Linked DNA regions of Rattus norvegicus. The protein of the gene in region 2 interacts with the protein of the main gene of each other region in a pairwise test. Links are inferred from orthologs where the notes say so. Each region holds a gene or a part of one and is shown on either strand. Other genes may lie near its edges. The genes, in order: Pbx3, Rabac1, Rab1a, Snx10, Mief2, Trim32 and Lnx1.

Region 1 (4,131 bases), on a different chromosome or scaffold from region 2:
TATAGTGCCATATAAAATTGAATCAATCTTAATATTCACAGCACAGTCAATACTCCAGTGCTTAGCTGTCAGCACAAACTGGAGTACAGCCCTGATAGGAAGGAAACCCTTGGAAATTAAGCAACATAAATGTTCTAAGAGTTATATACTTTCATTCACCCAGATTAAAAGCCTTCAAGATTCAATGCCGGGTGTCTTTATACTTAGAGTAAAATCATCTGCCATCTTAAATCATAAGGTACTCAAGGTTTCTAAAAATCAACATGTAACAAGTCAGTAATTTAAAATGACTTTGGTATTCAGAATGTAAAGTGTGTCGCCAAAGAGAAGAAAAGAAAGAAAAACAAAAACCTATCATTAAAAAAAAAAATCATGGCTTACGAATGAGAAGCAAATAAAGTTACTTCTTTCAGCTCTCAATATTTACTAGCAATTATGGTTTAGCATATATACATCAAGAGAGGCTAATAAACCACCATCTCCTCTGACTTACTTTTAGGACTATAGATAGTACCTGTTTTTTATAAAAAGAGTATGACTTGACTTCCTGCCTAACAGTCCTAGGCAATTATTATTATTTGTAAAATCAATTCAAAGACAGCCAAACCTTGAAACATTAAAACAGCATTAGCTGGAAAATGCAATACACTGAGCTTGATTTTTTTTTTCTTCTTTGCCTCAATTTACAAAAGGCAACTATAAAAAGCAATACAACCCAACACATACAACAAATAAATCAATCGATCAGTGGTAAAGCTTGATCAATGGAGCTTTGTTTTTACCACATACAGGAAAGATAACTAAACAAACTAAAACATGTGAGATATATATGTGTATAAATACACATATACATGAATATACTTTAGCTTTACCCTTAAGTCAAGAGTAAATTTACCTTAAATAAAAAAAGTCTGACAAGAAAGTTAAACTATAAGGAACTGTCAAAAAAATTTCCCTAATATGTATCAGCAATTTTCATTCTAGCACTTCTGCAAAACCTATGCTGCTCCTGCCCTGAACTTCAGAAGGTTTCGTCAGCATCTGTGGACATCTTTCTCCACACACTGAAGCTCAGTTTTACAAGTGTAGCAGTTGTAAGACAGACTGTAATATAAGTACTAATAGGCGTGATACATTGCACATGCCTAAGCACATGATCTTCCTTCCTGGATTCCTAAAAATCTTCCCATCTAAAGCACTAAGTCCAAGGTGCTACTGAGGCGTGTTCGGTTGTGCCTTCAGTAGAACCGAAGCTCAAAACTGTCTCAGTAAAACAAAGTTCTGGTGATGCCTCTCCAGGGGAACTGGTCCCTGGCATCCAGTCTCCCACTGCTCCGTTTAAAAACTGCTACACAAGGCAAAAAGAGATAGGAGAGGGCGGCTAGCTAGAGCCCCCTCCCCGTCTGAAGCCAGGGACTACTTCCTAGGGAACTGCGACCCAGCTCCATTCTCATATACACTTCATTTTGTACCAAAGCAGAATTGAGAAATAGACTCCAGATTTATTGCAGTTTTTTCTCAAGATCAGGAGGTGGGAAGCAAAGAATGATCAAAGATGGCGGTGCCCAAAAGCAGCAGCTCTCAACTGGAGAGTCGAAGGAGTAGATCTGACCCCACCTCGGGGGTCTCCGAGCCCACTGTGGGCAGCAGAGTCTTACCTGTTTTCTCTTTGATCTCACACAAGACGCTGAAGAGCGCCGGTTTCATTCTGTGACAGTTCAGAGCATGTTTCCTAAAAAACAAACAGCAAAACACAAAGGTATTAGCATCACCTATTGGAATAATATGGCGCCTTCCTTTAAGTTAGACCCAAGATTTAAAACCGGCCCCCTATTTGGGAAAGCTCTTTTGAACCACGGGAAGTCAACAAAACTCAAGTTGACTAGTTCGCAACTGGCTGCAAGCTCTAGCGGCGAGAGCTTCAGCCCGATAGCAGCGTGACCCATCTGCTGGGCCGACAGAAGCCTCGGCAGACGCAGGAGTGACCCGCTCATAAGGCTCCGCTCCGGGGAGCGCGGCGGTGACCCAAGGGACCAGACCGACGCGGAGGGGACCCCAACGCCCAAGCTCCACAGGAGCAGCGGGCGCAGCGGCCGGCCGGCGGCTGATAATCAGCGGGTGACAGCTCCGCAAAGTTTGCCAAGCGGCCCTCCCTCCTAGAGAACTTGGCGCTCCCGCACAGGGACGTGGGGGAAAGCAGCCGGTCACCCCGGACTGGGCCGAGGGGAGTGGATGCCCGGAGTCTGGGCGGGCGGAGAAAGTTGCACTTCCCGGCGGTGCGGTCCGGGACCCGGCAGGGACGCGGAGCGCACCGGGGCCCGGGCGGGATGTTTAAATCCGGGGAGGGGGCCGGGCAGCGGGGCACGGACGAAGCACTGATCGAGTTTGTCCCGAACCCGGCGAGCAACTTTGCCCGCGCGATGGAGGACTCGGCAAGTGCCCGGCGGGCGGAGAAAGTTCCCGCCCGAGACTGAGGCCCCGGTCCCGGGAACCACCCGGGACCCGAGCCCGGCTCCCGTACACACACAAAAGATGCTTAATGAGACGACACCAACTTTGCTTGCGCCTCGTCCAAGCTCTGGTCGGTGATGGTCATGATCTGGTGGAGGATGTCGCCGATGTCCTGCTTCCTGCCGTCGCCGTCCGCCCCTTCGTGGCCGTGAGGGGGAGGCGGCAGAGCCATACCCCCTTGGACCGAGTGGCCGGCCAGGTTCACCCCGGCCAGAGTCTGCAGCATCCTGGATTGATCGTCCATCCCGCCGCGCGCGGGCGGGAGCGGGCGGCGGCGGCGGAGGCGAAGGCTGAGGCGGCGGCGGCGGCGGCGAGGGAGGAGAAGAAAGAGGGGGAGGGGGAGGGGGAGGCGGCCGCGCGCTCCCCGCCCGCGCGGGAGGGGGCGGCCTGGCCCGGCGCGGCCCGCGACTGAGGGGACGCGGACCGGCGTCCGGCTCCGGCTTCCGCCGCGGCGGAGACTGAGGACAGCGGCGGGCGGAAGCGGAGCTCTCGCCGGCGGAGGCGCTGGCGGTGGTGCCCGCTGCCCTCACGCGGCCGCCGCGCTGCCTCCTCAGCGCCCCGCGCCGCGCCGGGCGGCCCCGCACAACTTGGTCCTCAGCGCCAGCCGAGTTGCCGGGACGCCGCGACCGCCGCCGCCCGCGCCAGCCAGAACGGTCCCCTCCCTCAGCCGCCTGCCGCCGCCGCCGCCGCCGCCGCCTCAACCGGGCGGGATCCGAGCACCGGCGGCCCCGGGGGAGGGAGCGGCGGCGGCGGCGGGCGGCGGCAGAGGAGGAGGAGGAGGAGATGGAGGCCGACGGGCGGGCCGCGGGGAGAGAGAGGGGCGGAGGAGGAAAGTTTGGGAGCGGGCGGGCCGGCGCGGCAGGGACACGGAGCCCGGTGGAGGGCCCCGGCGGGCCGCACGCCGGGCGGACAGCAGATTGATGAGGCGGGAGAACTCGCCGCCGCCACCTCCGGTGCCGCGCACCCAGTCAGCAGCCGCCGTGGACCGGGCTCGAAGGCCGCTCGGCTGAGGGATTGACAGGCTGCCAGTGCCACTCACTCACTGCGGCCCCGGCGCCCGCGGGGGGAGGGGCGGGGAGATCTGAAGGGCGGGGGAGCGCCCCGGATGCCCCGCCTCCTGGGGCGGAGTCTTCTCTCATTGGGCTTTGCGCCTCCCGCCGCCGCCACTGGCCCCGTCCCCCAGAACTCGGCCCGTCCCCTCTGGCCTCTACTGTGGGGCGCCTGAGAGCCCGCCCGGGAGCCTTATGGCTACCGGCGCCCGCGCTCCACAGATGGACAGCCCAGCCAGCAAAGTGTTGCCCCCGGCCCCTGCACGTTTCCTATTGTTAGCAGTTGGGGACTTAGGGGGTGTTGTATAGGACCGGATAAAGTCTCCCCGTAGCCAACGGCGTGGTCCCCCGTTGCATGAGATGAGCTTCACGCCTCGGACAGTGCCTGGTCTACTTTCCCACTCTTCCTGTCAAGAGGTGGTACCCTCTGGGCACAAGGCCGCAAGTCCAGGGCCAATCGCATTACGCTCAGCGCCGAATGAGGCGGGACAGAGCCAAGAAAGGGTTGTCCCAATTGGAGCGTTCGAAAGTCCTGGGCTGAGACCGGGAAAGAGGGTCTAAAAGCCTTGCC
Region 2 (4,255 bases):
CAGCCTCTCCCTACACAGACCCTGTACTCACCCAGGACCCAGAAGACAGCGGAGCCAGCACCGGCCAGCCAGAAGAAAGGGAAAGAGACACCACCAGCCAGGGCGTACTGATGTGCTGGGCTCACCTCACGGCCTGGGGACAGATGGTGTAAGACAGCCAGCCGTTCCCAGAGGTAACCAGAGCCACTTTGCACCCATCTAGTGTGACTCTGGAACCTTCCATGTAATAATACAGACTCCTCACATCAGGGCCTCCCACCCCTGGCCCTACCCCACCTCCCCAAAGTGACCTGTCCCCATAACGACCTTCCTCAGCTCCGCCCCTGCTCCACCTTCCCCAGGAGCCCCAGGCCACCTCAGTCTAGGGCCTGATGTTCCAGTCTGGTTACCAGGTGGCTCCGAGCCAAATCTGACCTGAGCATTTTTGTCCTTTTTTTTTTTTTTTTTTTTTTTTTTACTTTTTAAAGATTTATTATTTTGAACTATGTGTATATGCCCTGCGTGGGCATATGTACACGAGAGTTCAGGTGCCCGAGGAGGTGGCTATGGTGCACCCACCTGACTTGGGCGCTAGGAACCAAACCCACATCCTTTGCAAGAACAGTATTCAATTCTAACCACTGGGCCATCTCTCTAGACACTTAGTCTGATTATTATTTTTTTTTAAAGATTCTGAAGCCCAGGCTTATTTTGAACTTGGAGCAATTCTCCTGCTTCAGCTTCACAAGTGCTGGAATTCCAGGCACAGGCCAGCTTCTGTTTTGGGGATGTGTTCTCTGATGAGCTTCACAAGAATTTGGTTTGTGAGGGTTGGAGAAGGTGACCCAGCAGTTAAAAGCACTTGTCTTCCAGAGGGGCTCCTGCATTACACATTTTTTTTTCTTTTTTTCGGAGCTGGGGACCGAACCCAGGGCCTTGTGCTTGCTAGGCAAGTGCTCTACCACTGAGCTAAATCCCCAGCCCACACATTTTTTAAGGCTAGGACATGCTGGCCCTCTTCTTCAACCCTAGTACTCTGGACACAGAGGTGGGGGGAATCTGTGAATTGGAGGCCAGCCTAGTGAGTTCCTGGGAGACGACATAATTGGAACGAGACGCATTCCCTGCTCTCAATATATATAGAATATATATGCTTCCCCTCCCACCCCCCCACCCCCTGGCCAGGCTCTCCTATGCCTGAGAAACGTGTGCACCCTAGTGACCACTATCTGCAGAAGCCAAGTTCCAGTATTCCTTTGCCACAGCCCATCTTTGTCTGGTACTTAAACTTGCTGGGTCACGAAAGACTTGGTTTTTTTTTTTTTTTTTTGGTTCTTTTTTTTCGGAGCTGGGGACTGAACCCAGGGCCTTGCGCTTCCTAGGCAAGCGCTCTACCACTGAGCTAAATCCCCAACCCCCGAAAGACTTGTTTTAAGTCTCCTTGGAAACCCTTGGATTTCTCCTCAGAGAGTCTTCCTTGACACCTTTCTTCCCAGTGGGGCCTTTCCCCTCTGAGAATCCGAAGGTTTGGGAAGGAACACGGATCTAAGCCTGCATAAGGTCGCCATCTGGTGTCCAGTATGGGTATCTGCAGCTGATGTTTTACGTCGGGGTTTGGGAGGAACTGGATTAAGTCATTTACCTGAGACAGAGGTGCCAGGGGCTTTGGGGTCTCTCTGGGTTTGAGAAGCTGAGACTGGAGGGGAGCACCTGGTAGGTCTAAGCCCTTAAGGACCAGGTTAAATGACTCTAGTGTGCATCTCGGTAGGGGCCGACTTGAGTCCCAAATATTCGGAGGTTTGCATTCCGTGAGACCACGATCAGAAAGGCTTGGGAAGCCATTTGGGCAGGGGATTTCTCACCAAAGAGCACAAGCTTAGACTGCAACGTGCGCAGATAGAGAATGTAACAGGCGCCAAAGAAGACAGCCAGAGCCACCAGCAGCATGGGGGATGTCACCCTGGAAGAGTGTGGGAGACAGGAGTTAGGTATCCGAGGCTGCATCAGCCAGGTCCCTGTAGCTTTGGACAAACAGAAGTTACGTCCTTCTAGGTCAGCGAAGGTCACACTGCACCCTGGTCAAGTGGATGCAAGAGTACAGACTGACCAGGTCTTGTGGTGACAAAGGTGCTAACTGGTCTGGGCGGGGCCTGGCAGCCGGGGGCGGGGCCGGACTATCGAGGGCGGGGCCGCGGAGGCACTCACACGCAGTACAGGATGAGGCCCAGAAACACAAACACGTAGTTGCTTTGATAATACTCCACGTTGCGAACCAGGCGCTGGCAAAGCTCGCCTACGTTGCGGGGTCGCGAGAAACGTTGCTGGTCCACGAAGGTGCCCCAGGGCCGGATGGTAGCACGGCGCCGCTCCAGCCACTCTCGACCTGCGCCAGAGGGAATCAGCTTGGGTAGCAGGGTCCTAAAGGACGGGGCAGAGAAGATGAAGGCAGGAATAGGGTACCGGACCCCAGATTCTAGCATACATGGTCCCAAGGTTGACCTTGAACCCTGGGGGGGGGAAGGGTCCTAGGAGGAAGGTAACACAACTGAGTCCCTCCCAGGGGGTGAGGGGCTGAGATGTCTCTGAAGGGGAGAGATCTATGCTTGCGGGGGCAGGGACTTCTGCGTCTCGGATCTGGGGGTAACACCCTGCTTGCTCACGTGGCGCTCAGCCCTTCCACTTCGGCATCCTTCTGCTGGTCCTTCTGGGCCGCCATGTCTGCGCTGCAGTGAATAGAACCGCTGTAAATATCCCCGAGCCCAGCAGCACCTAGGCGGCCCCACCCGAGCCGGACTCAATGGAAGTGGCGCCGCTGGGAGCTCTAGGGGGCGGTAGTTGTGCCTCGGAGCATTGTGGGTGTTGTAGTCCTCGTGGCGTCAAGAGGCAGGTTTGCCTCGCAAGACATCTTGGGAGATGTATGCTAAGAGCTCGGGAGCCACTAGGCATTGTGGGAATTGTAGTTTCAAGAGGCGCAGAGTGGAATACAGCAGGTGGGCTGTCAGGACAGAGGATTTGATAGGAGTTGGAATAGCAAAAACAGGCGAAAACAGGCGATCTACATGCTTCCGTGGACCATGCAGAGCTGTCGTTCTGACTCCAGAAAGCTGATTCTGTTTGGGCAAGCCTGGGAAAGAGTTCATTTACCTTTTCTTTCCTTAAAAGAAAAGTACTGGGGCTGGAGGGATGGCTCAGTGGTTAAGAGCACCGATTGCTCTTCCTGAATTCAAATGCCAGCAACCACATGGTGGCTCACAGCCATCTGTAATGAGATCTGATGCCCTCTTCTGGTGTGCCTGAAGCAAGCTACAGTGTACTCATATACAATAAATAAAAAATCTTTAAAAAAAATCTTAAAAAAAAAAAAGGAAAAGTACTTACTTTGGAAGTGGGGCTGGAGAGAGCTTACTTGTTTCTCTTTCAAAGGATCATAGCTTGGTTCCCAGCACCCACACCCAGTGGTTCACAACTGCCTGTAACCCCAGCTCTAGCGGATCAGATATACTCATGTGTACATGTCCACACTCAGATACACATTATTTAAAAATAAGTGTTTCGGGGGCTGGAGAGATGGCTCAGTGGTTAAAAGCACTGACTGCTCTTCCAGAGGTCCTGAGTTCAAATCCCAGCAACCACATGGTGGCTCACAACCATCTGTAATGGGATCCAATGCCCTCTTCTGGTGTGTCTGAAGACAGCTACAGTGTACTCATATACTAAATATCAAAATAAGTGTTTTTATTTTAAAAGAAAAGATTTACTTTTATATGTTTATGTGTGTGCGCCACCAGAACAGGTTTTAGATCTCCTGGAACTGGTGTTACAGGGCAATCATGAGCAGTTGGGGTTCCAGTCTGGGCCACTCAGCAGGAAATTGTGTTTGGGTTTCCCACTTGAGGTCCAGCATTGCTTCAGAAGGTCAGTGGACGACCATATAGTGTACAGTTAGCCTAAAGACTAATGAGGGACACCACAAGGCCAGCCTTGGGAACCATTTGGTGGCAAAGGTCAGCTGGGTTTGACAGTTGTGGAAATCATTTCAGTTTCTTTTTGAGGACTACGCAAAAGTCTTTCTATTTCATAACTCTCAAGTCTCTGCTCCTCAAACACAGCAAAGATGGAGAGCAGCCATGTGGGAGGCAGGGTTTCCGGAGAAGGCAGAGGTATGTTGCAGAAAGTGGCAAGCTAATTGGGAGAATGCAGGAGCCTTGAATACAGGGGATTTTACGTTTGGTGTCTGGGGCAATTGGGAAAGGAGTCCTTTGGGACAGTGGAAGCC
Region 3 (4,247 bases), on a different chromosome or scaffold from region 2:
TGGAACTCATAAAGGTGGCAGATGGCTTCCTCTGCTGAACTACCTTACATGTCTCTTCTAGAACAGTCTTCCAAAACCCAACAGCCAACCAGAACAAGTGACTCTGCCCTAAAGTCACACTGTCCTGACCCATGCTGCACATCTGCATGCTCTATCTCCTAGTATCTGACATGTATAGAACCTATTTTGTATGTTATGTTATGTTACAGGCCCCTTGAGGTTAAGGTTTACACTCCTAAGTCCTAGCTTGCTTTAAAATGATTTATACTGTTTACAACATGATCTGGATAGCTGTCCTTTTTACATACTCATGGACACACTACTACCTTAATAGGTAGTAAAAATGACTGTCTCTTGTACTACTTTATAAAAAGAGAAATAGTCTAAGTAACATCTAACTTTGGTCATTTATAGTTAAATCTCTTACAGTATTTAAAAATATAAGAATGCGGTACATAAAATAAATAAATAAATCTTTTTAAAAGATACATATAACAAGGGCTGGAGAGATCGCTTAGTAGTGAAGAATATTTCTCTTCTTGGAGAAAACTCTAACTCCATTCCCAGCACCCACATCAGCTGGTCACAAGTACTCTAACTCCAGTGCCAGGGGATGTCTCTAACCCAGCAGTCCTCAACCTGTGAGTGGCAACTCCTTTGATGGGGGTCAAAGGACCCTTTCACAGGAGTCACATACCAGATATCCTGCGTTATCAGATATTTACATTATGATTCATAACGATAGCAATATTACCGTTATGAAATAGACATGAAAATGCCATGGGTAGGGGTCACCCCAACATGAATTGTATTGAAGGGTCATAGCATTAGGAAATTTGAGAAGAATAAAAATATTTAAATACATATGTAACAAATATAGGAATCTTCTCAAATAGAAATTAGAAACCTTCCTAACAAATCCATGTTCTTCTCTGTTTCCCTAAAATCTAACTAGGAATCCCAATAACTTTTCATGACATGTCATGGAACCTCATTCCCTAAACTGATTTTGTGCTGGGAGAGGGGCTGCCACCACAGTAAGTGTGTCACCATATGAACTGTTCCCAACTTCTTAAAGAAATACAAAAGCCTGGGTCAACCACAGAGCTCTGTGGATAAAGTGCTTATCTGAGTTCAGTTCCCTGAAGCCACCCACAAAGGGAGAAAGAACAAGCTCCCAAAATCTGTCCCGACCTCTGCCGCAAACAAAGTGGCACCTGTGCACCTGCAATCACATGTGTCACAATAAAAATAAAGTATGTAAAGTTCTACCAAGATACCAAGACTTCTGCTTAACCCAAATGAAAAAGCACATTTCAGTATTAAACCAGCCTTAGAAAACTTGAACTTAGAATGTCTTTTGCAAGAGCCATGTGACACACACATGACAAGTCAGCTGAGCTGATGGATGGACCTTTCCTGGGGACACACTTAGCGGGGACTGACCAAAGCAACAAATAAGCCCAGGTTTTAGGGCAGTATTGATTTCTCTTATTAAAAAAAAAAAACAAAACAAACAAACAAAAAAATCCCTCTCCCTTAAAGATTTCTGACACTAAAGTATAATAAAAATGACATCTCTTCGAGTTATTTTCATATATGGAAGCCAGAGGAGAATTTTAGGGTCAAAGAGAGAGCCCAACAATATCTATCCAAGAAAAGACAAGAGCAGTTCCCATGAAGGTGCCAGGTGTGTCACATCTGCTAGAGTGACTTCTTGAGTAAGCAAGAAAAAGGAATGCATTAACTTTTCATGACACGTCATGGAACCTCATTCCCTATCTACAGGCATTCAACCAGGTAATCTAAAACCTACAGTTCTATCATCAAAGGCCCCATTAGTTTCTTTTCAAAATTGTCTGCAAACTTGTACTTTAATTTGGTGGTGCCAGGAAGACGTTTCTAGTTTATTTTTAGTTCAGTTTTGTTGATGTTGTTAACCTACCGGAAACAAAAGGTGACTGAGAGACTCATGTGTCCCCCTAAAACAAAAATTTCACAAATGTTCAGGATTTTAGAAGGGTCACATCTCACAATTCTTACACAACTCTTCCAGGAGACAAGCCCTAAAGGAAACTAAACATTGTAAATAGCTTCTCGCCATCTCCTCATTCCCCTCAAGCCCACGCAGTCCCAAGAAGCATCCATATTACCAGAAATCCAACCGTGAGAGAGCTCTAACAAGCTCAGGATTTACAAGTAAAGCTGGTTTCCTCCCTGTCGACGCTGACAGCTCCGCAGAGCCGGCGCAGGGTCTGACAGTGCCCTCTAGCAGAACTCTCCCACCTACCTCCCCTTAAAAACAAGTCCTCCTCCAGCCGTCACTGCCTCCAGGGACGCGCCCTTCCTGGCCGCTGTCCGAGGCCCACTCCCCAACGCCCGGCCGCGGCACCTAGCTCCCCGCCGGCTGCGCCCCGGACCCGGCCCGGAGGCCCGACCCCTCCCCGCTGCGGCCCTCGGCCATCAGACAATGGGGCCCTCGGGCTGCTCCGTCTCGTTCGCCTGGTCGACCTTCCGAGTGCTGCGCAGCGAGCCTCCAGGCGGCCCTCACCCCAGCTGGACGCCCTCACCCCGGCCCGCCCCGGCTCTCCTGCACTCACTATTCGGGATTCATGCTGGACATGTCACTGCAGCTGCCGCCGCCGCCACCGCCCTTGCTGACGCAGCCGCCGCCCCAAGCCTCCGCGCCACGGGTAAAGGAAGGGGAGGAATGAGCTAAGCTGTTCCGGTAGAGCAAACGTCGACCCCACTCCGACCCTTAGAACACAATCAGCAGCCGCCGCCACTCAGTGATCGCTTCCACCCAAAATGGCCGCCGGCGAACCAGGAACTGGGGAAGCCTAGGCCAAGGGGCCTGTCGCGGCCCAGAGGGCGGCAGCGTCGCGGGGCACGCTGGGAAAGAGAGTCGTGAGCACTCCGCGCGCTGGGCAGCCTGACGAGGCCGAGGGCAGCCTGCACTCGGCTTCCCACTAGGCCCCACGTCCTCTACGCATGCGCCCTTGCGAGCTTGTCGCCCGCCCCGTCCCGATTCCCTCACCCCCACACCCCGCCCTTCCTGCTCCCCTCCCCGCTGGCCTGCTGGCTAGGACTTCGCTCGGACTCCCCCTAGCGGATTGGCTAAGGTCGAGCGGACTGTGTTGATGTCATCAGTGAGACGTGGCAGCAGGGCGAGTCAGTGCCCCACGGGGAGGGGGAGGAGGAAGGAACCGGGCGGAGGGAGGTGCCGCAGCCGAGGGGGAGGGGGCTCCCAGGAACGCTGGGACGCGAATGAGGCGGGGTGGGGACAACTTGACGAGTTCTGCTCTGGCAAGAACGCAGTGGCCAACCCCATCAGAGTCTGGGGCTGCTCTAAGGACAAAAGGAAAGTCAGGTGGCCTGTGTAGCCTTGGGCTTTCACACTCACCCGACTCCTTTTCTGATTTTTTTTTTTTGTTTTTACCGTTTTACTCTAGCAACTTGATGTTGAAATAGCTGCAAATGGACCCTGCTCCAGTCTCTCTTCTGCCCCCGTCCATTTGCACACGCAATCAGATTTACCTGTCTGAAACTGCTCCTCCATCTAGACCTCCCAACCTTTGAAGGCTCTGCATTGTGCTTTTGAGACTCAGGCTAAAATGAACCTTAACCTAGTCTTTCTACTTGAGGCCTTAAAGTTGAATTGGTTTTTGGGGTTGGGTTGGTTTGTTAAGTTTTGGGGGTTGTTTGTTTGTTTTGCTGTTGGTGCTGCTGCTGTTTGTTTTTTATTAGTTAAATTCTGTGTCCGTCTGTAACATTGGGTAATAATAAGTGTCTTTTTAAGCCAGGAAACTCATTCTGGACTCCAGAACTAATATTAATACATTTTTCAGACCTTAACTTTAATCAGCTCAGGAATTTAAATCTCCACTAAACTTTAACACATTATCTTGGGTTATTTATTCCAAAGGGCATAATATAATACACTGTCCAAAGTTTATCTTCCAACTTGTTCTAAGCAAGAATATTATCTCCAACTGCGGATTTACTTTTAATTTCTGAATTTCAGTGACACAAAAATAAGCAAAAGAGGCTGTTCTCATCTCTAACCATATACTCAGTATATTTTACACATCCCTCTGGACTTCCTCCATGTGACTTGACAGCCTCATCAGACCATACATAGATAGGTTTTGGGGGTTTTGGTTTTTTTTGTTATCGTTGTGGTTTTTGGTATTTTGAGACAGGGTTTCTCTGTGTAGCCCTGGCTGTCCTGGAACTCCCTCTATAGA
Region 4 (4,039 bases), on a different chromosome or scaffold from region 2:
GTGCCTGACACTGTAGCTTCTTTCTTTTTTGAATTATTTTCATAGTTTTCCTTTTTCTGGGCTACAACCCTAACACTAGACACTGGAAAGGTCAGTTGGGGCTCTGCCCAGAGTTGTGAGGTCAGACTCTGATGTGTTGGGAAGATCATCTGTACTTGTAATCCCGGTACTTGGTAGACAAGAAGAGTGATTGCAGTGTGTTCCAGGCCAGCCTTGTCTGCATAATGAGCTCCAGCAAACACAAAGGTCAGAAGTCACATTCTAAATTAGTTCGGACTTAGCAGGCACTCAGAATCTTAGATATGTGGTACTTTGTTTTCCAGGAAATGAATTTCACTCACTCAGACAAGGACTTGAAAGTATACAAAAACAAAAAACAAAATAAACAAACAAAAACCGATAGTTGCATGTATTATAGTTTGTGTGCAATTTTAGGCCATTAAATAATTCAGGACTCAGAGATACGAGTCCAAGATAAGACATTGCATTTTCATAAGTTTTGTTTAGAACGTCAGGGTAGCTATGGAATACAGACCCGGACAACTTTTCTAGGAGGATCCTGGATGGTCCCAGAGTCAAAGGATTCACTTTCATCGCTGAGTTTTCCTTTTTTTGTTCTTAGATTTATTTATTTTATTTTATGAGTGTCTTGGCTGCTTGTGTATATGTGCACCACATGGGTGCCTGGGCAGAAGAGAGCGGTTAACTGGAGTTAAAGTCTGTTGTGAGCTGCGGTATGGGTGGGAGCCAGGTCCTTTGTAAGGGCAAAGAGTGCTCTTAACACTGAGCCATCTTCCCAGTCTGCACCACTGAGGTTTCCCATGCACACAGGTGGGTGAGATCCATCCCAAATGATCTTTAGGAACCGGACATATCTTTGGCAGATCTCATAGCTTTCTTCTCATCGTTCATGAAAATACAGGTTTTTTTTTTAAGTTACAGAGATACTAAAAATATTATGATAGCAAAGTCACATGCCCTCCATCGAGATCCCGCCGTTAACTGTAGTTATGCTTGTCTGTTATAGACCTCCCTCATCTTGATTCCTCACAGCCCGGTAGGGAGAAAGACCCGCTAGCTAGGTGGCCTTTCCCACGTTCCCATAAGAGGCTGGCAGTGGCGGTGGGGGTGGGGGGCGGCGGCGGGCGCGCAGGGCGGGGCGGGGCGCTGCGTGCGCTGGAAGCGGGGCTGCGCTCCTCGGGTGCGCTCTTGGGCGCTCGTCGCCGCCGCGCCTTGAGTCAGCAAACTCCGCCGGGCTCCGGGCCGGACCCAGCCGTCCAGGACCGCGCGTGAGTAAGCCGAACCTAGGGGAGGGAGTCGGGTGGCGGGCGCTGCGCCTGCCCTGGCACCTGCTCAGCCGGGCTTGGGGCGCCGGAGATGCTGGCACGAGCCGGTCTCCCTCCCAAGCCCTGCTTCTTTCTGAATACAAGGCCAGGCACCTTTGAGTTTAGAGGCTGGGAGGGCCAGGAAGGATTTTTTTTTTTTTTCTTTTCTTCTCCTCTTCTTCTTCATGGGATTGTGGGATTGATGGAAAAGGCCGCGGAGGAAACCCATGCTGATGATCGGATTTGCTGACATAGGGAAGCAACAGCCTGTTTATCGGTTTTGGACACATCACACTTTGCTAAAATTACAAGGATTGTTAAGGGATGGTCACCGGATGTCTGTTTCCGCAAAGCACGGGCGCGTGGAGAGCTCCACGGAGATCTCAATTTACGCGATCTCCATCAGCCCTTTTAGTTTGCGACAGGGGAAATCAAGGTCTGAGAGGGTGGAGCAGCACGCACCGGGTGGGAGGGGTGTATGAAAATCCCTCTTGTCCTGGGAGTGGGCTTGTGGGAGTGGCCGGAAGGGGGCTGGGGGCATTAGGGGATTCCTTCAACCACTGGCCAATCCATGAGGGGCTTTCTGGAGGAGGAGGAGGTGACGGAGGCGGAGGCCGAGAAGGTTAAGTGTCCTGGCAACAATACCTTAAGTGAGCTTGAGGAGTCTGCATGACTTCGCTTGATTCCTGTCCCTAAGGCAAGGGACAGTCATTCCGGTCTCACTCACCGTGTCTTCCTCCCTTCTGATCCTGGGAATGGAGCCCATGATCTTGAGCGTATTATTAGCAAGCATTTTACCACTGAGCTGCACCCTAGCCCCCGTTTATTTTTAAAGGAGTGGTAGAATTGAGATTGACTGACAGACTGTTTCGAATAGCGATATAAATGTAGATATATTTAGAAGTGACTATGTGGAGATGCTCAAGACCTCATTAGCAGCTTCTAGTTAACCAGACCATCCATCTCCGGTTCTGCCAGCACATTCTTAGTCACAGAAACGGGCCTCCCTCAAGGAGGTGTGCCCGTGGTGGTAATGGGGTGGGGTTGCAGCCTTTTGGCCGTGTTACCCACTTCCTTTATTTCACTTGTAGCAAGACCTTCCGAGATTGGTGTCTTGAAATGAGCACCATCATTCTTTCTATGTGCTAAGTGTCTCCTTTACCACACAGTTCTCCTCTACTTTAAAGCATTCTTTCTTGATCTCTCTCTCTCCTTTTTCAGCCCAGGCATGGCACTACTTTCATTTTGAGTTAAGGCATTGGGGAACTAGTTTCTTTTTCCTCTTTCGGTATCAGGGCTTTGATGTAACAACCACTTGAGAAAGGGGGAGAACTGCCTGAGGATAGGGTCCAGCCTATAACAGAAGGCCTTGGCTGAAGTGATGATGGCCAAGTGGAGAATTCCCTAGATTTTAGGGCTGTTATCACCAAAGGGCTTTTTATTTTTAAGTAACGTGATAGGTATGAGTTAACATGTAAGCTCTCTATGCGGTGCTCCAGCCATACATGACTATGCGTTAGCCACCACTTCTGGTTTCAGACCCTTCTGAGTTGAAATCTTGGTGCCTTCATTTGCTACTTAAGTTATCGCTGGCAGGTCAGGCATGGTAGTGCATGTCTGTAATCTGGACACTTGGGAGGTGGCAGCAAGAGGGTCAGGGGTTTGAGGTCACCCTTATCTCAAAAATGACAAAAGTGTCCTGGAACTCAATATGTATGTAGATCAGGCTGACCTCGAACTAAGAGATCTCCTTGCCTTTGCTTCGCAAGTGCTGAGATTAAAGGCTGAGACAGTATCTCATGTTATCCAGACTGGTCTCTAACTTGCAGTGTGGGAGAGAGGATGGTCTTGAGCTTCTGATCCCCTTAAGTGCTTCTGTTACAGACATGAACTATTATAATCTGTAGTTGAGGATGGCCTTGAACTCTCAAGGGCTGGGGTTACAGTATGAGCCACCATACTGACACCATTATTGTTACTAATGTAATTCCTTTTGAGGAGCTTCTCATGTGGCTCAGGGCTGCACAGTGTGTAGCAGAGGTTTTGAACCTACTTTCCAAGTGCTGGGATCACAGGCCTGTGCCGCCACCCCATGATTCCAAGGTGGGGGGGGGTTCTAGCCAGGCAATGATGACACAGGATTTTAATCCCAGCACTCAGAGGCAGGAGGGCCTATGAGTTCGAGGTCAGTGGGGTTGTGTAAAGCTAGCTCAGGAAAGCCAGGGCTTCTCAGAGAAACCCTTTCTCAAAAAATGAGGAAAAGGCAAGAGGGGCGGTTGGACTGAGTGTAGGTCCATGGTAGAGCACTTGGCTAGTATAGGTGAAGACCTGGATTGGATCCCCAGAATGACTAAGTAGAGCTTTATGTGATAGCCTCACTAAATCATGACAAATTATAAAGCCAATTTTATTATTTAATCAGCAAGCAAATGTGTTGCAGGTTTCTAATAAAGGTATAAAATGATTTAGGACTCATGTATGTCAGACCCTGCACTTTTTTTTTTTAAGATTTATTTATTCATTTATTATATATAAGTACACTGTAGCTGTCTTCAGATACACCAGAAGAGGGCATCAGAACTCTTTACAGATGGTTGTGAGCCACCGTGTGGTTGCTGGGAATTGAACTCAGGACCTCTCTGGAAGAGCAGTCCATGCTCTTAACTGCTGAGCCATCTCTCCAACCCCAGACCCTGCACTTTTAATAAGTTTTG
Region 5 (4,118 bases), on a different chromosome or scaffold from region 2:
CAAGCAGGTCATGGGACAGTGAGGGCATGATGACAAAGTCATTGGCCCAGAGTCCCAACACTGTGGCTTCTACAACTGCAACAACTTCACGGAGAATGGGTCAGAGAGATCCTGCCCCTCTCCAGGCCTCAGTTTCCCCATCTTTGGCTCCCTACCATCACATGGTGCAACCTTGCTATAGTAGAGAGCAGACAGGCAAAAACAAGGATCCCAGGGCTGAGGTTTGCGTTTGCTTAGCACATGTGAGGCACTGGGTTCTATCCAGAAAAACACAAACCTACAGTACCTATTAAACATCTGAGTTGCCCACAACCCAAAGAGGAACAGAAATATGTGAAGACTGCAGCTTCCGCATGGGCGTGCACAGGGGACTCCCCACACTAGAAGGAGGCAGTGCAGCTCACCTGGGGCAGAGGGGGAGGGGGACACAGGAGATTTGGGCTGGCTGAAGGCAGCAGGAGAGGGCTGGGGCTTGGGGTGTGAAGTGGCTCTCAGCAGGCTCAGTTCCTTCCAGCTGTCCCCCTTGGTGTCATCCTCATCACGAGGGTTAGTTGCCCTGTCGATGAGCTACAGGCAAAGTGACACAGATCAGAGCATGGGGGGGGGGGGGGTGCGGGGTTGCACGGCAAAGCTGGGGGCGGCGGGGAGGGGGAGTAAAGCAAACCAGGAAGCTAGGGTGAAAAAGTAGGGGCTCTGAGCTCCAGTCCGACTTCCAAAAGTCCCACCATCCCCCAGCTCCCCCGTCCTGGCCTTCTCCTGTGGAGGTTTCAGGCAGGCCTCACCATGGCCTTACCCGCTTTACGGCCAGGGTGGCAATGCCCAGCACTGCAGCCCCGCCCACACCTAGCACCAAACGAGCGTTAGCCAAGAGGAAGTCCACCACACTGCCCAGGCCCTCGCCACCATGCTGCTTCCTCTGCTTCTGTGAGAACTCTGCCATGGTCACCTGCAAGAGAAGCAATTCGTAGGGCCAGCGTGCATAGGTGCTTAGCAATAACCAAGAGGGCGGTTTCTAAGGACCCGAGAGAAAGGGGCTGCGCAAAGAGTTTCTTGGAGGGAAGCAGGGGACCTACCAGCCCCTCCCTGGAACCTGCAAGCTTCCAAGCCTTGGAAAAGGGCTGATATAGGAAGGCTCCAGGCCTTTGTCCTGACTTCACCCCGAGATGCTGGGAACCTGGGCTCGTCATCACCACCCTTACTCTACAAAGACATGAGTTGCCAGGCCACAAACTGAGTGGTAAGGTCTGGGACTCACAGCACAGCCTCTAGACTCTTCCACCCCCCAGCCTGAGTATTATCCCTATGCCTCCTGACCAGGTTCTCATACTCCTCATCAGGACCCACCCAGAACAGCCACACTGTGTGACAACCTGTCAGGAGGAACCCAAAGCCCCAGAAAGACTTGCAATATGGGTTTCCAGGAAGCCTGCCTGGGTGAGGCCTGTCAGACCTTTGATAGACCCTTAGCAAATTCAGGGATCTAGTTACTGGCCCCCCAGATCTTGACAGGAAAACTACTTGGGGTAGGGCAACCCCATCAGAGACCAGGCTGAGGGCCCCATAGTCCAGTGGTGAGTAAGGTAACCCTAAATAAACACTGAATCAGGACAGGCTGCCCAGGGCCCATGGACTTGAACAGAGTTGGCGAGGGTAAGAATGTGAGAGAAAGACCTGGAGCCAAGGACTTTCTTTTGTTTATCTATATGACTGCACCAGTGAGTTAGATTGGGAAGTGTGCGACTGGCCGGGTCAGGAACTCGAGAAAGACACAGGAATCTCTAGGCCTGGTCCACTAAGCCAGAAAGGTCATTGCCTGATGGGGCACCAAGGACTTCAGCCCTTCCTTCAGGGCCATGGCTGCCCTGGGACCTAGTTGCCAAGTGACAAGATGCCTAGAGTAGTTGAAGCCTGAAGCACTGTGTGACTCAGCTGAGACACCTGTCCACGGCTCCCGAACTAAAAATAAGACCCTGTCCTGTCCTAGGGCCTGGCAAGATCAAAGGCCAGCCAGGGGACCTACTACAAGCTCGAAACCTATCGCTGCCCTCAGACCAGTGAGCCACTCTGCAAACAGGGGACTTAGCTTACATTCCACCGCCTGCGTAACGTGGGACTCAGTCCTACACCTGGAGGGGTCTTGTATTCAAACTCTGGTAAGAAGGGAATAAAAGAGGTGGCTAAATAAAGCCAACTCAGGCCCTTGTGGTGGCGCAGGCCTTTCATTTTAGCATTCAGGAGGCAGAGGTGGTCAGGTCTCCTTGAGTTCAAGGCAAGCCTGGTCTACACACTGAGTTCGAGGACAGCCAGAGCTACATAATAGATCCGCTTCTCAAAATAAAACAAAATAACAAAATAACCTGCCTCTTCACAGCCTGGATGTCACCTGTTCTTCCATTTCTGCCAAAGCTGACTGCCCTGGATCAGGGTTGAACAGAAACGTGTAACCACATACAAAAGGCTCTTAGACTCTATTCAAGAACGAAGTCACTGAGACCCTGGAAATCCTGTGCAATACCCAAGTTGGGAAGAGGCACCCCTGGGATTCGAACTCGGATATTTAGTTCCCAAGTCCTCCCTCCCACCGCAGTGTTGACCACAGGCCACGCCCCCACCTGCACTGGGATACAAGCCACGCCCAATACTAGGAGACCCCGGCCGCCCCCTGCGCTGTAGCTGTACCTGCGTCCGAGCGTCAGCGCATGGACCCAAGGACGCGGCGAGCAGGACCCTGGAGGCCCAGGAGGACCCGCTTAGGAATGGAGCGTCCAGACCCCGGGAACCGAACGCCGAGGCCCGGGGCGGCAAATGACCCGAAAGGAACGCTGGATAAGCAGGCCTTCGCTCCAATCGGAGCGCACAACTCCTGCGCACACGTGCTCAAAACTGAGCAGCTCAGCCAATGAACACCAGGCACGCCCTGGACCTGGGGGCGGAAACCACAGACACTCCGGATTTAAAGGCGCAAGGTTACCTTGTAAACCCAAGGTGCGGGGGAAGTAGTGAGTGAATGACAATCGTCCAGGGCCTGCTCTAGTTTTACTTTGGGGGTGTTTTGTTGAAGAAGGGCCTCACACTAAAGCCATGACTGACATCGAATTCTCTGCAGTCGTGCCTTAGCCTCACATCTGACCTTGTGTGTACTTGTAGTGGGAGCCTCAGTGTGGAGAAAGCTGTCTGAGCTCACGGTCCCTTGATGGACCAGGCAGACAAAACTGCACCTAGCCCAAAGGCCCACATTCTGTCTTTCAAGTTTGCCCCTGCTAGAGTGACTGGTGGTCTCATTTCCTTTTGGCCCGCTTGGCACACACCGGGAAAAGAGCTCTGTTACCTGTTGTGCGAACTCTACCAGTCTCTTCCCTTCTGAAACACTGGGTGCCAGTCCCTGTACATCCATAGAACAGCTGTGTCTGTTTATTGGAAACCTACGATGTGCAGGCCAGGGCAAGATGGCCACTAACAGCTTAGCTGACGAGATATGCTGGTCTTCTAGAGCATGAAACAAGCCTATAAAGAGCACTGGCTAGAATCCTGAGGCCAAGGGAGAATTTTGAGGGTTTGTGCATCCTGCTCTCTGACACTCCTGAGTACTCACTTGGTTCTGACAATTTTGGGAAGCATGTTACACACGAGCAAAGTTGAGTCCAAAGATGAAGAGCTAGGCCCAAAGACCCGGAAGTCTCACCACCACCACGGGTCCCTCACGCAGAGACTGCCTGTGTCCCTGACGTTGGTACCGAAATCTCTCCGGGATCACGGCCAGCTCAGGGTCTACAGCAGCCCAAGCAACAATGCCTGGACCCGACCCTCCACGTTGCGACTGGAGACTGGAAGTGGTGATCGTCTCCAGCAGGACCCCCGCAGGCCTCTCCAGTCCCACAACTCGAGGCCTGAAGCTCTGGGAGTCGCCTAGCAGCACTTCCCGCAGAGGCCGCGGCCGGGAGGAGGCGCGCGCGGGTTAAAGGGGCGGGGCCGGCGCTGACCCAGCCCGCGGCTCCCGGCTACCCTGCGTCTTCCTAGCCCATAGGAGAGCTACGCCACCATGGAGGCCACCGGGGTGCTGCCGTTCGTGCGCGGCGTGGACCTCAGCGGCAACGACTTCAAGGTTAGATGGGGGGAAG
Region 6 (4,093 bases), on a different chromosome or scaffold from region 2:
GCTTGCCAACTTGTGACTTCTGATTCACATGCCCACTTAGCCATAGGCTCTGAAGCCCAGGATATGTCATGCAACTTACCTATTAACTTCCCACCTTATGGAATCAAGAGCAACATTTACATTGTGAGCTTTATGGAGAGAATGTACACTAGTCAGCACTCAGTGGAGTTCACTCTGTTTATAGACAGAGGCTGACTAGTGCTTGACCACCAAACAAGCAGTAAAACACCTGATTCCAAGGCTAACTGAACCTGCTCCATCATGTGTTTCCAGAAGTGATCTGTGTGGATATCACAGTCAAGTGTTCTGCCCTCAGCTCCAGTCTGATTTTAACTAGGAAATTGCCTCCTGTAATGTAGCTAGGTTTGGAGTTGATAAAGACAATGCTACCTTTCTGTTCCTGAGACCAAAATACACAAAGGAGGGTATTCAGAGCAGTCTCCTTCAGTCTAGCACTGTCCTTGGGCCAGAGTCTTCTTATCTCAGCTTCGTAGCTCCAAACTCCTTGCACTATCTCCCCACTGGTTCTGGTCTAAGAGCAAAGCAAGAACAAAGTCCAGGGCTTCTGCTGATCAAGAAAAGTCACCCCACTTTTGAATATGGGGCAAGCCTCCTTTTCATTAGGAAAGTCTGAAAAGGGAGGACCAAGACGACTGCAGCAAAGAAGCAAGAGGGGAGATTCTGTGGTGGCAATTTACACGGCAGTTTACTTCTGCCAGTTTTGGTGATGTGGCTTTACACAAGTGATCTCCTAAGCCTTAGTTTCATGTGTCACACTGGACATAGAAAGTATATTTAGAAGGACTGCCATGAGAAGAAAGTACACATAGATCTTTGAGAGTAGTAAATTCTTAACACTTACTAGGCACTAGACAGTAAGTACCCCGATTTATTTCACTGAGTCCGTACAGCAATCCTAGGATGCAGGTCTCTGAAGAGCTTGTGCATTGAGAGGTCAAACTTGTGCATTGAGAGGTCAAATAAGTCTTAAGATTTCAAAGCAGGAAGAGAAAAAGCCAGGATTTGGACCCAGAATTCTTGACTCTCTTGCTAGGTCCCTCATTTGTGGCATGATTGGCATTTCTGGCTAGGTGACAGTTTATTGTGGGGGTTGTTCACTAGAAATCAGTAGACCCCCACAACCCCTCAATTATGACAACTGACAATGCCTCCATCCAGACATGGTCAAATGTTTCCTGGCAGAACAAAACCACCCTATCTGAGAACTATGGTTTTAGGTAATGATACAGTCTAAATACTCAGTACATGTGAGGCTCTCCCTTGCTCCAACCCTGTTTTGTTTCTCGCCCAATTCTAATACTTCATTCATAGAATCACTGCCTCTTTGTGCTATAATAGACCTTCTATAAAATGATGTCAGATCTAAGATAATTTTGGCTTATACCTTTGAGGGCTTAGGGGTACAGAGAAAGGGATAAGTAGCAAAGCCCCTAGGTAGTTTATTGTTCTTCCCCAAGGCCTATAATGTTGAGTCTGTGGTGGGGAAGTTGGGGTGGTCAGAGTGGATTTAGTGAGAATACCTGTCTGCCTCAGGATTAAAGGGCCTTTAGTTAGCAAGTGAGGAAGACTCTGCCCTTCAGAGAATGTCAAACTCTCCTTCAGGATTTCTGAAGACCAGTGTCTTTATTTCCAAACCCCTACATTCTCCTAAATTCCATTCATTCATGCATAGTTTATTTATAAATTACTTTCAGGTCCCTGGGTCTTCAGAACACCCTCTGGGTTCAATTATGCAGAAATCAAGAAACAAAACAAACAAACAAACAAACACCTCCTTTAGTGGTCTCAGAAATTTCACCTGGTTTTGAATTGTACAATCTAGTTACAACATTCACTCCCCACCATTCAATCCTTTACAAACCCCATTCTCAACAATAAATCCCAAATCTAGAATTCAACCTCTTAGACTGTGTATGTTGCAACCCTGCAACTCACCAATAGCTCTTATGTGTCCCACATCCCTCTGGTACATCCTTTCATCTATTTTCAAACTCCCTACATCCTTTCATCTATTTTCAAACTTCCACTCCTATCACCCACGTATGGCAGCTCCAAACTCCAATCCTGTACCTTAGACTCTGCCTCCTTCAACCTTTTCCCTCATCTGCATTCCCCATCTTGTACTGTGCCACCTCCAACCTCCCCACCCCCGCCCCCGTCCTGCCTCACGTGTTGCCTTCAAACCTTTGCTGCGATTTGCTAACTGGGTACTGATTCCCTTGGGAACTCACCCCTCAATCTTTCCCAGATTCCGCTACAGAAATCCCTTTCTCTTCAGCATTTAGGATCTTCCAAGACTCTGGCTGTTTTGATCTCGGATCTTGCTACCATTACACCGATCTCCTCAAAGCCCTTAAGATTCTGCCCGCCAACACCCAATCTCATCCAGGCCTGCCAAATTCCTTTCTGCTTCTGATAGTATGCACCCAGATACCTCCAGGCACTTCAGGTCCTCGCATCTTACACATGCTGCACCCCGTCTCTCCGCATGGCCCCCACATTACCTCATACCTCTCTCCCGACATGCTGCAACTGCAAATTTCCTCAGCCCCTTTGCTCCCCTCCCCCAGCTGCATCTCAGCCCCGCCGAATCGCTCCTGAGCCCGTCCCTCCCCAACCCGGTCCTGCCACTCAGATCCAGTCCCCAAATTCTGCCATTCAATCTTGGAGCCCCGCGACCCACCACAGTCCCTGATCGCAGACCCTCCTTCCCGCCCCCTACCTGACCGCCCGCGGCTCCGACGCGAGTCCACCGCTGCCAGCCCACCCGCCCGCTGCCTCCTGCGCATGCGCTAGCGCGTACATCCCACGGCAATAGCCAATTTGTAGAATCGCCTGTCTGTCAACTTGCCCCGCCTCCCGAGGCATGCTGGGGCTTGTAGGCCCACGGCCCAGCGCCTGCGGCCCAGCTAAATGGGTAGGGATGGCTTCAGAAACCTAGGCCATTGCAGCGTGTGATCCAGCTTTCTGCGCTATTTCAGAGTCTAAACAGGGTTAGTCAATGCTAATCCCTCAGTAGTAGTCTCCAGAAAGTTCTGGCACCTTACAGAGAGACGCCTCTTTTAATCTTATGTAGGGAAGACGAGCACACTCCCTTCAAAGAGCAGCAGGTCCCCAGGCTAGGTCTTTCTGCCTGTGACACATCCCATAGTGGAGTCACAGAATACACAGCACTTAGGAAAGAGGTTTTCTTTGCCTCACAGCATGGAGGCGGATAGCAAAGGGAGAAAACAAGGAAAAGCCTGCATTCAGTCTTATCAGATGGTCAGTTCTGTGGCCCAGTGACTGGTCAGGTCCTGATGGGGACTGGTAATACCTGCTCTTGAACCTGATGAACACACAGTACTAGTTGGGAATATGAAGGAATCTGAAATACTAGGCTCTCATATTTGAAATTCCACCAAGCTGAGTACCCTCTGCACTGATGATAAGACAACAAACAAAACCAGTAATATCTTTAAACACTTGCCTACAAACTACAGACTTTGGGTAAAGAAACTGAGACCTAGGGGTCAAAGACCAAAGTAACCAGTTTCTACCTGCCAGAACCTGGATTTAATTTCTGAGAAGCATTCTTAACCTTGTTTTATTTTTCCGTTTCTTTATCTCGAAATAAAATTATGGGTTGTTTTGATGAATTACTAGAACTCAGAAAGATGGGAAAAGCAAATTTACCCCCCCCCCATCCCCAACTTGTCCAAGGTTCTATATCCACAGGACATCAGTTTAGATGGAACTCTGAACCAGGCTAGTCATTCTCCAACTGGACTCTCTTCTGGGCGATGCAGGAGTTCTCACACAATTTTACCCTGAGTACAGTGTTGTTATCTCAGATAATTCTAGAGCCCTGAGCCAATCCAGCCACCCAGAACTCCCAAGACCTGCTCAGAGAACATGTGACTCGAAGTTCTCTGAAGAAATTTTATCTGTGCTGGCAATCCTATGGACTGACCAAATGCCTAGAACTTCAAATGTGAAAGGATAGAAACCTGGTATACACACTTAATCAAGTTTATCTTGAGCTATCTTTAGTTCTCTGAATGGGCACTTATTACCAACCTTTGACTCTGAC
Region 7 (3,500 bases), on a different chromosome or scaffold from region 2:
TCAAGACGCTCGATGACCTGACCAGTCCTAGGACCCTCATGGCAGAGGGGGGAAACCCACCATTACAAGTTGTCCTTCGACAGTCACGTGAGTCACATGCACTATGACATGTGAGCACACATGTGTGTGGGTGTGCACAGACACCTCTACCCACACACTATAAACAAATTAGCATAGAGAAACAAAACAAAGGAACTAACTTGCTATCAGTTTATGTAGAACTTGCAGGTCTATGACTTTTCTGTTTCAACGGAGAGCCTGTGCATGGTGCCATGTGGTGAGAACGAAATAAAATGCTTTTCACTCTCTAACTATAATCATTATTTTCATGGGCGTAAGCCAGCACCTGGAGCCCAGCAACAGATGAATTTTTCCTCACCTGTGTAAAAGATGACAAAGAAAAGTCCCTGTCCTTACTCAGGTGAGGAGGCTACTCACGGCTATATATCCTTGGAAAGACAGAGGTCACAGAGAATGGGAGTCGGGCAGACTGCCATCATCCCTCAATGACTCTGGAAAACCAGCTTACAGCTCGCCTTGGGGTGGGGTGGAGATTTCGTTTACCTTCGGGGACAGTGTCGTTCTCAGAGTTGTCCCTGCCCTGGTCAGCGTGGTTGGCAACAGCACTTCCACTCTTCGTCCTTCGGAGAGCACTCAGGGCTCGGTTGATCTTTTTGAAAGAGCGGCTTCTCATAGTGGAGCGCTCAAAGGGCCGTGCTGAGGAAAGAGAGATCAATGGAGGTGAGATCACAGGCCCACAGCAGCTTTCCTTTAGCCAAGCGTGTTGCTCTGTGCCGGTGATCTCAGCACTCAGGAGGTTAGCCAGGAAGCTCAGGAGGCCAGAGCCAGCCCTGGTGCAGAGCGCGGTGTTGCTTCAAAACAAGCGAGAAGGAAACCTTTCAGGTATAAAACACACGAACAGGATGACAGGATATTAAGACAGTGATCGCTTAATGATAACAGTTTATTTATCTGTATTTCTCAATGTTTTATGTAGTGAAATAATGTATCTCACTTATTTAAGAAATCTGCTTTCCTCCTTTGGGTGAGAGTCACTTCGAGAGCAGTCATATCACACGGTCGATTACAGTTTCATTTCCCCTTGGAGAACTGGACATTGAGTGGCTGCCAAAACTACCAGAACCCATTTGCCCTTTAAAAAACATTTCTAGAACTTTCCACCACGAGTATTTACAGAGGGCAATCCCAGGGAAAACCAAGTGTCCAATTCCCAGACACCCTCCCATTTGACTCACCCCTGGTTCGGTTGCTCCGGCCAGTGTCTGAGGGGTTGGTTACCGGTTCACCATCCTCCACTGAGGACGTGTAGGCAGGATTGTCTAGGCCAGGCTCGTCTGTCATTAAAGAGATGGTGGCAGCAGCAGAAACCTCTGGGGAGAGCGTCGTTGCCGTGAGGCTGGCGCAACCATCAGGGCAGCCATCTTGTGAGCGTCTTTTCCTGTCTTTGGTCAGGCCATAGTGGGAGGCCCCTTTGCAGCTGGAACAAAGACAGAGGGGCACTTAGAATGTTTAACGACTTCCCCAATACATATGCTTGTCCCTGTACACCCCTCCCTTTTCACACATAAGAATTCAATATTTGCTTGCCAGCCAAATGCATTAATGACTTGTGAAGTAATTTTAAAAATTTCCTATTACATTTTCCTAGCATAATCTCCACTGTTGAGCAGTAGGAAGTCAAATCTACCTGAGTGGAGTTGAGGATGGGATCTCTTACATTTGGACTTGGTGACTGCTTCTTACTGCTGTTTATTTTGACTACGAAAACCCCTAATCACACTCTCACCCCTTTCTTTTGGGTTAGATCCAACAGCATTGGACATAAATACAAGCGGCCACTCCCAGATCCTGTATTTAGCTGCCCATGGAAACAGAGTCACACAGCCACAAAGCCACAAGCTTTACTGGGAACTGCTCTCCTCTAGGCGGTGGGAGTGATGGCTCCCATTCCTGTTGCTAGGTTGGTCTGGTAGTGCCTTGCATGCTCTTCAGAGGAATCAGGGCCAGGGACTCTCACACATGGGGAAATGTCACATCTCATAGCACTGGGGGAGAAAAATATCTGATTTTTTTTCTTACTGACAACAGAAACCTTCCTGTTCATTTTCTTGTTTCCATCCATTTTACTCACTGCATTTCCCTCAAACTCAAACATCGTCTGTACATTAGGGACAGGGAAGAATGTCCAGAGCTTCGAAAACTGGCGTTTGAGCCATTCTGGATCCTTCTTTTCCCGAATGTGTTTCCTTGCCACTGGGCCAATCGTTTCAGTTTGTTGACAAAGGTTTGGATCAGAAACTGGTGATGCTTTAACTAACCCACTGTACTGCTGGAGAGGGTATCAAATGGTACAGCCTCTGTTCCAACAGAAATCATTCTAACGGACTCCTTTGAATGTCCATTGGCCTAACATAGGTGTGCTGGTCATGTTATTCTGAATGACATTTTCATGAGGGTTGCCTCAGACCATCAGTAAACACAGATGTTTACATTTTGATTCATAACAGTAGCAAAATTACAGTTATGAACTAGCAATAAAAATAATTTAGGGTTGGGAGGGTCACTGCATCATGAGGAACTGTATTAAAGGGTCGCAACGTTAGGAAGGTTGAGGACCAACTGCCATGCGTGACTGATGTCTTTATTTTCTATTTATTTATTTTTCCTTTTTACACTCAGTGTGTGTGTGTGTGTGTGTGTGTGTGTGAACTATTTACATGCCTGGTGTTGGCAGAGGCCAGAAAAGGGCATCAGATCCCCAAAAACTGGAGTTATAGACAGTTCCGAGCTTGCATGTGGGTGCTCGAAAGAGAACCCAGGTCATCTAGAAGAACACCCAGTGCTCTTAACTGCTGAGCTCTCTCTCTCTCTGGCCCCTAAATGCCCCAAGGGTTGGAGAGATGGCTCACTGGTTAAGAGCACATACTGTTCTTGCACAGGCCACTTCGCTGAAGCTCAAGCTCCAAAGGGATCTGACTCCTCTGGCTTTCATGAACATTCCTCTTGTAACCCCCCTACACCCCCACACACAGACCCCACACTCAGAGACACATACATATACACAGTCTAGAAATGATATAACGAAAAAATGTTTTCTTTCATTAAAAAGACACACCCAAGGGGACGAAAGGCAATGCTGTACTTTTCATGGAAAAGGGTCGCTTGTTTCACACTGAGCAATTCAACCCAGGCCAGAGGGAGTTGCCAGGTTCACCTAAGCGCATTTTGAAGCCACGAGCGTCTGGTGTGAGCAACCTAGCCATGTTTAATGGCGTTTGGGGTAATTTAACTGGAGGCACAGGTAAAGATTCCCTTTCCTTGTCAGCAAACACAATACAACTCTTCTAAGAATCTGTAGTATCCTAAATGGGATGAAATGTGGCGCTCCTCTCAGTAGAAAGGGCCTGTGATTACACAACTTTACACCCTCATTTTCTAGAAGATGGACAGGCCTGTACAAGCCACAGCTTGTACTTTTG

The links.
Region 1: the proteins of Rabac1 (region 2) and Pbx3 interact in a two-hybrid assay, tested with the Homo sapiens proteins (2 studies listed by BioGRID). The two-hybrid records come from large-scale screens. The link is inferred for Rattus norvegicus from reciprocal best matches to the Homo sapiens genes RABAC1 and PBX3.
Region 3: the proteins of Rabac1 (region 2) and Rab1a interact in a two-hybrid assay, tested with the Homo sapiens proteins (2 studies listed by BioGRID and IntAct). The link is inferred for Rattus norvegicus from reciprocal best matches to the Homo sapiens genes RABAC1 and RAB1A.
Region 4: the proteins of Rabac1 (region 2) and Snx10 interact in binary tests that used the Homo sapiens proteins (3 or more experiments, as listed by UniProt). The two-hybrid records come from large-scale screens. The link is inferred for Rattus norvegicus from reciprocal best matches to the Homo sapiens genes RABAC1 and SNX10.
Region 5: the proteins of Rabac1 (region 2) and Mief2 interact in binary tests that used the Homo sapiens proteins (3 or more experiments, as listed by UniProt). The two-hybrid records come from large-scale screens. The link is inferred for Rattus norvegicus from reciprocal best matches to the Homo sapiens genes RABAC1 and MIEF2.
Region 6: the proteins of Rabac1 (region 2) and Trim32 interact in binary tests that used the Homo sapiens proteins (3 or more experiments, as listed by UniProt). The two-hybrid records come from large-scale screens. The link is inferred for Rattus norvegicus from reciprocal best matches to the Homo sapiens genes RABAC1 and TRIM32.
Region 7: the proteins of Rabac1 (region 2) and Lnx1 interact in a two-hybrid assay, tested with the Homo sapiens proteins (2 studies listed by BioGRID and IntAct). The link is inferred for Rattus norvegicus from reciprocal best matches to the Homo sapiens genes RABAC1 and LNX1.

What each region holds. Positions count from the first base shown.
Region 1 is NC_086021.1:38,077,096-38,081,226, forward strand, and holds the start of Pbx3 (pre-B-cell leukemia transcription factor 3), read right to left. Parts: upstream 2,801-4,131; 5' UTR 2,756-2,800; coding exon 2,556-2,755; intron 1,733-2,555; coding exon 1,659-1,732; intron 1-1,658. UniProt on the Homo sapiens protein: Transcriptional activator that binds the sequence 5'-ATCAATCAA-3'.
Region 2 is NC_086019.1:89,692,218-89,696,472, forward strand, and holds the start of Rabac1 (prenylated Rab acceptor protein 1), read right to left. Parts: upstream 2,801-4,255; 5' UTR 2,696-2,800; coding exon 2,640-2,695; intron 2,398-2,639; coding exon 2,185-2,397; intron 1,940-2,184; coding exon 1,842-1,939; intron 134-1,841; coding exon 32-133; intron 1-31. UniProt on the Homo sapiens protein: General Rab protein regulator required for vesicle formation from the Golgi complex. May control vesicle docking and fusion by mediating the action of Rab GTPases to the SNARE complexes.
Region 3 is NC_086032.1:98,622,230-98,626,476, reverse strand, and holds the start of Rab1a (ras-related protein Rab-1A), read right to left. Parts: upstream 2,801-4,247; 5' UTR 2,624-2,800; coding exon 2,601-2,623; intron 1-2,600. UniProt on the Homo sapiens protein: The small GTPases Rab are key regulators of intracellular membrane trafficking, from the formation of transport vesicles to their fusion with membranes.
Region 4 is NC_086022.1:81,942,084-81,946,122, forward strand, and holds the start of Snx10 (sorting nexin-10), read left to right. Parts: upstream 1-1,239; 5' UTR 1,240-1,289; exon of another isoform or gene 1,290-1,293; intron 1,294-4,039. UniProt on the Homo sapiens protein: Probable phosphoinositide-binding protein involved in protein sorting and membrane trafficking in endosomes. Plays a role in cilium biogenesis through regulation of the transport and the localization of proteins to the cilium.
Region 5 is NC_086028.1:45,907,391-45,911,508, reverse strand, and holds the start of Mief2 (mitochondrial dynamics protein MID49), read right to left. Parts: upstream 2,801-4,118; 5' UTR 2,680-2,800; intron 947-2,679; 5' UTR 941-946; coding exon 794-940; intron 568-793; coding exon 405-567; intron 1-404. Other genes in the region: Flii (protein flightless-1 homolog), read left to right, coding at 4,040-4,102. UniProt on the Homo sapiens protein: Mitochondrial outer membrane protein involved in the regulation of mitochondrial organization.
Region 6 is NC_086023.1:84,019,339-84,023,431, reverse strand, and holds the start of Trim32 (E3 ubiquitin-protein ligase TRIM32), read right to left. Parts: upstream 2,801-4,093; 5' UTR 2,744-2,800; intron 1-2,743. UniProt on the Homo sapiens protein: E3 ubiquitin ligase that plays a role in various biological processes including neural stem cell differentiation, innate immunity, inflammatory resonse and autophagy.
Region 7 is NC_086032.1:33,938,071-33,941,570, reverse strand, and holds part of Lnx1 (E3 ubiquitin-protein ligase LNX), read right to left. Parts: intron 1,499-3,500; coding exon 1,257-1,498; intron 718-1,256; coding exon 565-717; intron 1-564.